Linked DNA regions of Schizosaccharomyces pombe. The gene in region 2 interacts genetically with the main gene of each other region. Each region holds a gene or a part of one and is shown on either strand. Other genes may lie near its edges.

Evidence for each region.
Region 1: mutations in dcr1 (region 2) and pfd4 together harm fitness more than expected from each alone (negative genetic interaction), as found in Schizosaccharomyces pombe (2 studies listed by BioGRID).
Region 3: mutations in dcr1 (region 2) and scs7 together harm fitness more than expected from each alone (negative genetic interaction), as found in Schizosaccharomyces pombe (2 studies listed by BioGRID).

The regions. Positions count from the first base shown.
Region 1 is NC_003424.3:504,177-507,008, reverse strand, and holds pfd4 (prefoldin subunit 4), read right to left. Parts: upstream 1,101-2,832; 5' UTR 1,026-1,100; coding exon 654-1,025; downstream 1-653. Other genes in the region: yip5 (Rab GTPase-binding protein), read right to left, coding at 1-466; atg10 (autophagy C terminal domain family protein), read right to left, coding at 1,417-1,956.
Region 2 is NC_003421.2:1,508,744-1,512,503, reverse strand, and holds the start of dcr1 (dicer), read left to right. Parts: upstream 1-1,946; 5' UTR 1,947-2,213; coding exon 2,214-3,760. Other genes in the region: ER to Golgi ceramide transport protein, lipocalin superfamily Svf1, read left to right, coding at 1-921. UniProt on the Schizosaccharomyces pombe protein: Required for G1 arrest and mating in response to nitrogen starvation. Ago1 regulation of cytokinesis and cell cycle checkpoints occurs downstream of dcr1. Required, indirectly, for regulated hyperphosphorylation of cdc2.
Region 3 is NC_003424.3:4,055,090-4,058,849, reverse strand, and holds scs7 (ER sphingosine hydroxylase Scs7), read right to left. Parts: upstream 2,075-3,760; 5' UTR 1,893-2,074; coding exon 1,835-1,892; intron 1,815-1,834; exon of another isoform or gene 1,547-1,814; coding exon 561-1,546; 3' UTR 35-560; downstream 1-34. Other genes in the region: RNA-binding protein Rsd1, read left to right, coding at 2,833-2,886, 2,978-3,760. UniProt on the Schizosaccharomyces pombe protein: Ceramide hydroxylase involved in the hydroxylation of sphingolipid-associated very long chain fatty acids. Postulated to hydroxylate the very long chain fatty acid of dihydroceramides and phytoceramides at C-2.

The DNA.
Region 1 (2,832 bases), on a different chromosome or scaffold from region 2:
GGTTGCATTTGTTCCACACTAGGATACCCCATAACAAAACGGCGATAATGGTAGTGTAACCATAAATAATTGATGCTGCAGAGATCAACTTTTTTATAGAATAGCCACTTGTACCATGCCCTGTGGCATAACGAGCGTATTCGGTAATTGAGTTGGAAAAGAATAGAGCCTGTATAACCGTAGTGGTTATCCAAAAAGGACCGTATAAATCGGGACGATCATCTACAACATCAAAGAAATTTACAGTGGGAATAAGAGTATGTATACATCGTTGAACCACATCTTTAGTTTCCACGTTAAATGAATCTTTGATGGTCCATGGCGTCTCTTGCATGGATGCGCGACGAGATTGTAATCTAGGGGCCGGAGGCTTTGTAATGGGAGTTCTCTGCTTATAAAGGTCTTCAGCCTCAAATGTTGTACGACCTAGGTCAGCTTCCGAGTCAATTTCAATCTCATGTGCCATAGTGGTGGTTGGATACTTGTAATGGCTTAGGGTGAACAAAGAAGTTTACTTATTGGAGGCGCTAATTGCATACAGATTTGGTATTGTGAATAAATTTAAATGCATGAAATGTTATTTAATTAAAGAAACTAATTCAGAAAAATAAGATGAAGCTTCTAATTTTGAGATTTGCTGCTTTTTCCAAATCTTAGTCTAGGTTAATTTGATCGTGAAATTTAGAGTACAGCATTGATTTCAACTCTTGAATGCGGGTTTCGTCTTTTTCCATGGAAGATCTTAATACGTCGACTTGCTTTTCCAAACTTTCTTCTGACTGCTCAAGCTGGTCAAGGAGTACAGGAAGGGAAACTTGGAAAAAGGCATCGCCAACCTTTAAAGCTGGAATATCGTCTCCATCATCCTCGTCTAGTAATTCACATTCATTTTTAGCGTCAACAATATCCTCTATTTGCGTTTTTAAATTCTTAATATCAAGTTCTTGAATGGCCTTTCGAGAATGCAACACTGAAAATTCATTTAAATTCCTTTGATCTTCTGCTAGAACAGGAACTTGTTCCATATTTGTTGCTAAGGTGTGTTAGGAGGAATAGTATATAACCCGGTTTCGTTTGTCTTAACAAACAATTGTTGGTGTAGAGATCAATGCGGTCAAGTAGAGGTTTAAGTGGAACAGTTGAATGATATGTCAAAACAGAAGGATTATTAATTAGTATAGTATTTTATCTACAAATTTAAAGAACAAAAGCTATTTTCTACAATTGAGGTCTTCAGATCCGTAATGTTTTTGCTGTCAAATAACAGGTCAAAATTTTACTATAGATTCACAGGGTATTATAAACTAAAACCAGAGAATACGGATTAAATTGACTTTTAATTTAGTTTTAATCATGGGGAATAATATTTAATAAGACAAAGTCTTAGCAAGCATACCCGTTTATAACAGGTTATCTTTAGGATTTTTCGGCATCGTCAACTGCTTTTATTATAGGCTGAGTTAGCGGAGAAAGGACTTGATGAATATATAGCAACCAAAGAGAGAGATACTTGGGATCCTCTTTGTCTATCTGAAGCATTTCGAAATAATCACGCGTACGACATGGATGGATATACCATGCTATGCCTACTGTACCTGGACAGTCCCCAATAGCAAGAGCGTCATATGCTAAATTTTGACTGGATCCTTCTAATAACTCAAAAATCTGTTCCATCTTGGTAAGAGGATCTGATCCGTTTGCATAAGGTTGAAAGAAGAACTGCGGGACTTCGAAGGATGGAGAATCCCTAATCCAGGCGTGCATAGTGATCATTGGATTCATAAGGCTTAAAATATCATCTTCTTCCTGCTCGTATAATAAGGAATCATTTTTATCAAGTAGCTCAGTATGCCATTCTAACTTCAAAATACACTCATCAAACTCAATCAACTCACAAGAAATACCACCTTTCGACAGCTTCTGAGCAAGGATAAGTAATTGAGACTTAAAGCTCATTATTGTCACGGTTAGCCAATTTAATCACTTTATCTTTGCTAAAGCAATAAGTAATTGAAGAAGGAATTATTGTCCCATAAGCCTGGCTACAGTCTGATTGTTCAACGCACTATTCCAATGAGGGCAATAGAGGCAATCACCTGTCAATATATTTGAAGTTAAGTCTCGACAAAAATGGTGTTTCAGTTATTTACAAGTATATTAATTCTACATCTTGCTTCTAAAGTTGACAATAAGAGTATGACAAAACAGTACGTTGGAGTTTACAAAGTTATCCAACAATATAGTGGTACACTGTGTAGTTACTACGTTTTCAACATTTCTTCTCAGCAAATGTAGGATTTCTTAAAAAAATAATTTTTTCGACTAGAAATTGGCGGTAATCAAGAGAAGCTAATGTATAAAAACAATATGTTTGGACTTGGAAAAAAATGAAAAACTAAGGTTTTATATTAGTAATTTCCTCTTAATACTTATACGAGCAAAAGCAAAAGCAAAAGCACTGTTCCAATGGTGCTTATAAAGCCAACTGATCTGTGAAGTAAAATTGAGATATGTGTGTAAAGCTGTTAGCAACATCAATGTCACCATTATATATTGTTAATGGGCATTACGACTTTAATCATATCTGATATGCACATATAAAAGAAATTCTCTTTTAAGGGCATGGAACGTCCTCTCAATTAGTAATTCGGAGACATTCATGTCGTTAATGTGGTTTACCGCACAGTGATTCGACTTTCTTATTGACGGCTGCCAAACACTTTACTTACATATATGTTGTTGTACAGCTTCTTACATCAACGCTAAAATATATATACATTTCCAATTTGAAACATCGTAAGGCGTTGGATCGTTCTTATCAGCGTCTAAAAA
Region 2 (3,760 bases):
CAATTGATACATTCCAACTTGGGTTCTTGGACAACCACCGCTCAATCTACGTGTCGCATTTTCGATTTGAAGCATCCTGAAAACGATTTGTGGACTTCTACCAACATGGATCAATTTAGCTTTGAAAATGACAAAACCTCCTTTGTCGCCAAAAATTGCTCTGTCGTGTTGGAAGACCAAAAGCGTTACCGAATTCGTGCCTCCATCAACATGGACTCCATCATCGATATAACTGTCCATCAAGACGCTCCTCCTTTTAAAATCGGTGAAGATGGAAATTCTACTTATGGAACAGATCCTAGTAAGCCCTGGGCTTCCATGAAGCATACCTTTTGGCCTCGCACTCGTGTTGAAGGTAGCATCGTTGCAAGGGGTAGAGTTGTGGATGTCACTGGTCCCGGCATGTTTGTTCATGCACTCCAAAATGGCAAACCCCACCATCTTGCTTCATCTTGGGAGTTTGCCCTCTTGCAGCATAAAAAGTTTACCGCCATCATGATGCAGTTCAAGACACCCCCTAGCTATGGTTCTACTATTGTCAATATTGGTGGTATCGCTATGAAAGACAAAATTATTAGTGCAACTGTCGATAATACTATTGAGCACGTTGAGACCACACTCGATCCCGATACGGAATGGCATGAACCCACTCGCATTTCCTACGAATGGGACGGAAAGGATGCTGAAACATACACCGAAGATATTCATCTTTCAGTCGATGCTCCTTTGGGAAGACGTCTTCAACGCATCGACGTTCTTGCCGAGATACCATCTTGGCTTAAGGGTTTCGTCCATGGAGTCTCTGGAACGAAACCTTTCATCTACCAATATTTCTCACCTGTCAAATTTACACTGAAGATGGGTGACGAGGTTATTGAAGATGAAGCCACGCTTTTTAATGAGACTACTTTTATTTCATAAGCATCTTTTAACAAAAATATTCAAGCATAAATAATTCGATGCATTTTGGGCTTAAACAAAGAGTGAACGTGCATCCATCTTTTTTTCAGAGCTTTTCTATATTAAACTCTCTGGTTTTGTATTCTTTTTTTCCTTTTTTTTGTCCTGTTGTTTTTAATTTCGTGTCTTCGAATTTTTTTTTCATACTATTTTTCGTTTTATTAAAATAACTTCATATAGACTTATCACTTATACTCTGAACTTGATAGTTGTGCTGCTCTCATATTGAATATGATTCTTGTTAATGGTCTTGTGCTACAAGCTCTGAAATTCATTCGTTCTCTTGTTTGTGTACTAAATCGATCTTGTCATCCTAATACCTATACTGATGGACATGGGCAAGGCATCTGGCAAAATTGTGCATTCGCTTATGTTTATTGAAAGACTGCAGTCTGTGTAAACGAGCGAGAATGTTTTAAAATTTTTTAAAAATTTGAATACTTTTCATTTTAGAGACTTCAAATAATATTGTTTTCATCATTAAGTGGATACTAATTAGCAACTTCTCAACTTCTATTTTATTTAAAAAACTAATTCATTGTAAATGTTGTATTGGTTTTCTACGAAAGCAGTTTTTCTATTATTGATAATTTCGCTTTTACCACTTTATAATAAAAAAGTATTGTATGTTTAATGTTTTCTAATATTTTTTTAATAAGTTTTCCTATGTTCCGATAAGAGCAGGCAGTGAACGCGTAAACAGATATATATGTATGTATTTATTATTAAAATATTATGTAAATAATTCTTAAAAAACCGAATCATTCTAGCATAAAGCATTGGAAACCAGTAATTCAACGTAACTGAATTTCACGGATTTACAAGCAAGTCGTACAGTCCTTTCTTCATTCAATAATATTGATTTAATAATAATATGTATATGCAATTTTCCTTTTTTTTTTTTTTTTTTTTTTAAACATTTTAAAATAAAGCATAGGCGTTTAATCATTTTTTATTAAAGTGCGTAACTTATGTTGTAAAAAACTACCACCTACTTTTCTCTTAAAACACCAGAATCTATAAGTGTAATGATTCCCCTTAACAACGAATTTAGAAGCTATCAATAGTATTGCGTCTGTTTTTATCAATCTCACAAACAATTATAGGAAGTATTCTGCTCGTGTGATTGTTCTTTTTCTTCTGGTAAAGATGAACATATGCATGTTTATTTGAATAGCTTAGGATTCATTATTTTTTAAGAGACAAATTTCTCGTCAATTGAATGAAACCTTCCGCCTTTATTTTCTTTTTGAATGGATATTTCAAGTTTTCTACTTCCTCAACTTTTACGTAAATATCAACAAGATGTGTATAATATCGCGAGCAAGCAAAATACTTTACTTGTTATGAGAACGGGCGCTGGTAAGACATTACTTGCTGTGAAGTTGATAAAACAAAAGCTCGAGGAGCAAATTTTAATCCAAGAATCAAATCTTGAACATAAAAAAATATCAGTTTTTCTCGTCAACAAAGTCCCTTTGGTATTTCAACAAGCGGAATACATTCGATCTCAACTACCGGCTAAGGTTGGCATGTTTTATGGCGAATTATCTATAGAAATGAGCGAGCAGTTGTTGACTAATATTATATTGAAGTATAATGTGATTGTTATTACTGCAGATTTGTTCTATTTGTTTCTTGCAAGAGGTTTTCTTTCAATAAATGATTTGAATTTAATTATATTCGACGAATGTCATCATGCAATTGGAAATGATGCGTATGCTCGCATCATGAATGATTTTTATCACAGAGCCAAAGCAGTATTGTCAAAAAAACATTTCACCCTACCAAGAATTTTTGGTATGACTGCTTCACCATTCACTGGAAAAAAAGGAAACTTATACCATCGACTGTATCAATGGGAGCAATTATTTGATTCTAAAGCACACGTGGTTTCGGAAAACGAGCTAGCCGATTACTTCTGTCTTCCCGAAGAAAGCTATGTAATGTATTCCAATAAGTTGGTTGTGCCACCCTCGGATTCTATTATCAAGAAATGCGAGGAAACTCTTCAAGGATGCAAGTTAATTTCTCGGGCTGTTAAGACTGCTTTAGCAGAAACCATAGATATGGGTCTTTGGTTTGGGGAGCAAGTTTGGTTATATTTGGTTGATTTTGTGGAAACGAAAAGATTAAAAAAAAAGGCTTTAGGGAAGCAGTTGTCAGATGACGAGGAACTGGCAATTGACCGGTTAAAAATATTTGTTGAAGATTGGAAAAATAACAAATATTCAGACAATGGCCCTAGAATCCCTGTTTTTGATTCCACTGATGTTACTGATAAAGTCTTTAAACTCTTAGAATTGTTAAAGGCTACTTACCGCAAAAGTGATAGCGTTCGTACGGTTATTTTCGTTGAAAGAAAAGCTACGGCGTTTACTTTAAGTTTGTTTATGAAAACTCTTAATCTGCCTAACATCCGCGCTCATTCTTTTATAGGACATGGACCGTCCGATCAGGGTGAATTTTCTATGACATTCAGGAGGCAAAAAGATACCCTTCATAAGTTTAAGACTGGAAAATATAATGTTTTAATTGCTACTGCAGTTGCAGAAGAAGGTATCGATGTACCATCATGTAACTTAGTTATACGCTTCAATATTTGTCGGACTGTCACCCAGTATGTCCAATCTCGAGGTAGAGCGAGAGCAATGGCTTCAAAGTTTCTAATTTTTTTAAACACAGAAGAGTTGTTAATTCATGAACGCATTCTACACGAAGAAAAAAATCTTAAATTTGCCCTTTCAGAGCTCAGCAATTCGAATATTTTTGATTCATTGGTATGTGAGGAAAGAGAACG
Region 3 (3,760 bases), on a different chromosome or scaffold from region 2:
TTCTACAAGAAAATCATTTCGCACTACAAACAGATGGGGTGGTAAAAACAATTAAAAATTCGAATTATATTTAAAAGACAGATAAAAGGAAAAATAAAATAGCAACCTTAGACTCAAATTATATAGCCGATAGTCAAGATAATATTATTAAGTTCGACTTAACAAGGTAAAGTTTGAAAACTTGTTCAAAAGAAACCAGAAAATAGTATTAATAGAAAAGAAGAAAGACAAGACAATTTCAATGTGGGATACAAGATGCTTTAGCGAGTGGATCAATCAAATTAAATCAAATTTGATGTTTCTGCAATTCAAATATAATACACAGCTTTAAGGCACTATAATAAGGCCTAGTTAAAGTCAGAGAGAAAATGGGGGAAAATTGCTTAGTGATTTCAAGGGTAAAGAGAGGAGAAAAAATTTGGAAAGCAATTAAAAAAGAAAAGAAAAATACAACAAGATTTATATAGCACACAAAATTATTGATAGTTAAAAAGGACCAAAGAAACTTTTAACACCTTGAAAGCAATTTAGCAGCTAAATGATTCAAACGCAATCACAATCTACTTAGCCTTAGTGCTGATCTTTCCCTGTTCGTTGAAAAGAGGTCCCTCAGTTCCAAAAACACGGTCCCAAAACCAGCTGGTGATACCATAGGCAGACTTGTAATCCTTGTAGTGATGGTCCAAATGCCAGGTCTTCAAATCAGTCAAGTAAGCATTGGGCATACGACGGTGATGTAAGAAATAGTGGGTAAGATCGTAGAAAACGTAACCAAGAATGGCACCAGAGAAACCAGCAACACCAATGTAGTGAGGAAGAACAAGTTGAATAAAGTGATACCAGGGAGTGGCAAAGATAAGGAACAAAGCAGGAGGCATTACAAGACGGTACTTGTCAGCAGGTAAGAAGTGGTGGCAACCGTGGAATGCGAAGTGCATAGTCAAGAAAATAGGATGATCAGGGGTGTACTCATCCAAGTGGAAGAGGAAACGATGCATAGTATATTCAACCAAAGTCCAGGTGAATAATCCAATGATGAAGAAGGTGATAGCAACAGAGAAGGGAATTCCGGTACAGGCGTACAAGAATCCATAAGTGACACAGGGAACCCAAATCAATGGAATCATATACCAAGGGGTCTTGGTAAGAGGCTCCAAAAAGTTTCCAAACAAAGGAGCAGAACCGCTGCCACGGTAATGACGGGGACGGTGAACTTGGTCCAAATAAACATCCTTCTTGATGTTACCAAACAAAATTTGGGGCAATAAAGGCTTCTTGAGGTCAAGGAAATGGTTCTTCTCGAAATCCTTGTCAAGATCGGTAGGCTTGACAATGAATTCATTGCCATAACCGACACCAATGTTCTGGTCGACAAGATCACTGAATTCCTTATTCTTCAAAGGAACCTTAGCACTTTTCAAGATCTCAACAACAGCTTCAGAGTGCTTGGACTTGGAGGTAGCATTAAGGATATCAGCAACCTCTTGGCGGTGATAGCGACGAAGCAAGTCAGCAGCGTCCTTGTTGGCAACCAAGTAGTTGGTGACTAATGGAATGTTAGTATAAAGAACGATACATGTATTTTGGTGTAACTAAGGCAAAGGGGGAAAGGTGAAAAAAAGTTAAAAGCACAACGAACAAAGAAAAAAGATAAGAAATGGCACATCTCCCACAATGGATCTTTTGCCAATAAGCCTTTGCTATATGCGTTTTCATTGTTTTTTATACATTGCCTCTCAAACACTCTGTTGCCGAGAAAAAATTTTAGTCCTTCAACCAAATCTCCTTCTCAAAACCCAAACACCCTGCCATTTCTCCTTGTTTAAATACTTACCATCGTATTCAGTGCCGTCAGAAAGGATAACACACTTTTCACTAGTAACAGAGGCCATTTTGGAGATGGGAGTATGAATTGTTAATTCGTGATAAAACTGTAGCAAGCGTGTTTCTGATGAGTTTGATAAACAAATACAGTAAATATTACAACGTAGCAACTGATCCTATGATTCTTTACTTGGATTTTTGTCCAATTGATCAAAATGTCAGTTCTTTGTTTGTGTTGCGTTAATGGCACGATGTTGTGGCGTGGATGCAGTAGCCTATATATGTCGCAGGAAAGGGCAAAAAGGCATTGCGGGGCGAACCAAAAAATCGTGCTATTTTTGATCGACTTTTCCGAAAAATGGTAAGACAACGGAAAACAATATTTACCGTATCGCAAAACGGGTTCCGAAACTGAACACCAGAAAATTGCACTCAAGGGCCTATACACAGGGAAAGAACAGACGAGTGAAGTGCTTTACAGATACAATTCATTGATTTATTCATAGTAGACTAAAAATTATTATTTGCGAAAAAATACTTGAAAAGAGAAAACCTTAAGTTGATCGAAATTTATTAACTTTTCGTGATTTACTTTTCGTTGGTTTGGTTAGGTATAATTTTGTTTTCCTTCCTTTCCGTTTCTTTGCTTCTTATTGTCGGTAATTGTTTTTAGCTTGGAATTTCCTTATTCCGCTATTCCTCGCTTTCTTTTTTGTTTGTACTAAAATTTCTCTCATCTTTTATCGCTTAGGCAGTAGAATATTCCACTTTTTTTTCCACCGAAAGAAAGAGGACAAAATAGCTCAAAAGAGTACTCATTATTAATATTTTTTAACAAAACAATTCGTGTTAGAAGCGACGAAAGCTACTAGACTGACAAAACTCCATTTTTACTAGCTTACTTAGTTTTCCAGTCGAAGTCTGTTCCGATCCTGTCAGAGTTTGTTGTATTGAAAACGAAAATAAACGAACGTATTTTCCACGCATAGATAAACAGATCTAATCTAAATGCAGCTGGACGCGGAAGCCTTGGCTGAGGCTCCTTTTCGTAAGCAAGAAGTGGTACGTTTACAATTTTTTTCCTTCCTTCCCGCCTTTTCCCTTTGTTTTTTTGTCTTCCCGTGTTTATTGTTTTTACTAACCCTTTTCCTAGCCGCAAAATCAAGAAAATCAGCAAAAGGCATCTTCTTCTTTTCATGAATCCTCACTCACCTCTTCCACTCATAGTCATCCCTCTAACCCTCCTCCACCGCCTACACGGTTGCATGATCGCTCTTTCAAACCCGTGTCTAAAAATTACGAAAGTGAAGGTCGTCTAACTCCTCCTCCCGTTTCAATGGGTTATCGGTACGCCAGATCTTCCAAACAATCTTTTCAACGAGAGGATAGCGGTTATAACGATGATGTAGTTACAAATTCCTCAAGTCATCGCACCCCAAGACACCATAGGAGATCATATAGTCCAAGGTCCGATTATGGTAGTCGCTCTCCCTCTCCTCACTCTTCTGTAGATTCTCATCAAAGTAGATCACCCGTTCGTTCTCGCGATCGCGATCGCAGTTCAAGGTCAAGTCGAAGCCGCCATCCCTCAAGTCGTAGTCGCCATCGATACGATGATTATTCACGCAGCCCTCCTTACTCTTCGCGGCATAGTCGTAGTCGTCGCCGCTATGAAGAACGCTCCTCTCGTTCTTCTAGAGCCCATGATTATGATTATGAGGACTTGAGGGATGATGACCGTTCACATGAGCGTAAGAGAAGTCGTTCCCGTCCTCGTGAACGCTCCTCTAAACTTTCAGAGGAAGAGCGTGATCGCCGTACTGTGTTCGTTTCTCAACTCGCAAATCGTTTGACTTCTAGGGAATTATATGATTTTTTCGAACAAGCTGGTCCTGTTCGCGATGCTCAAATTGTTCGAGACAAGATTAGCGGACGA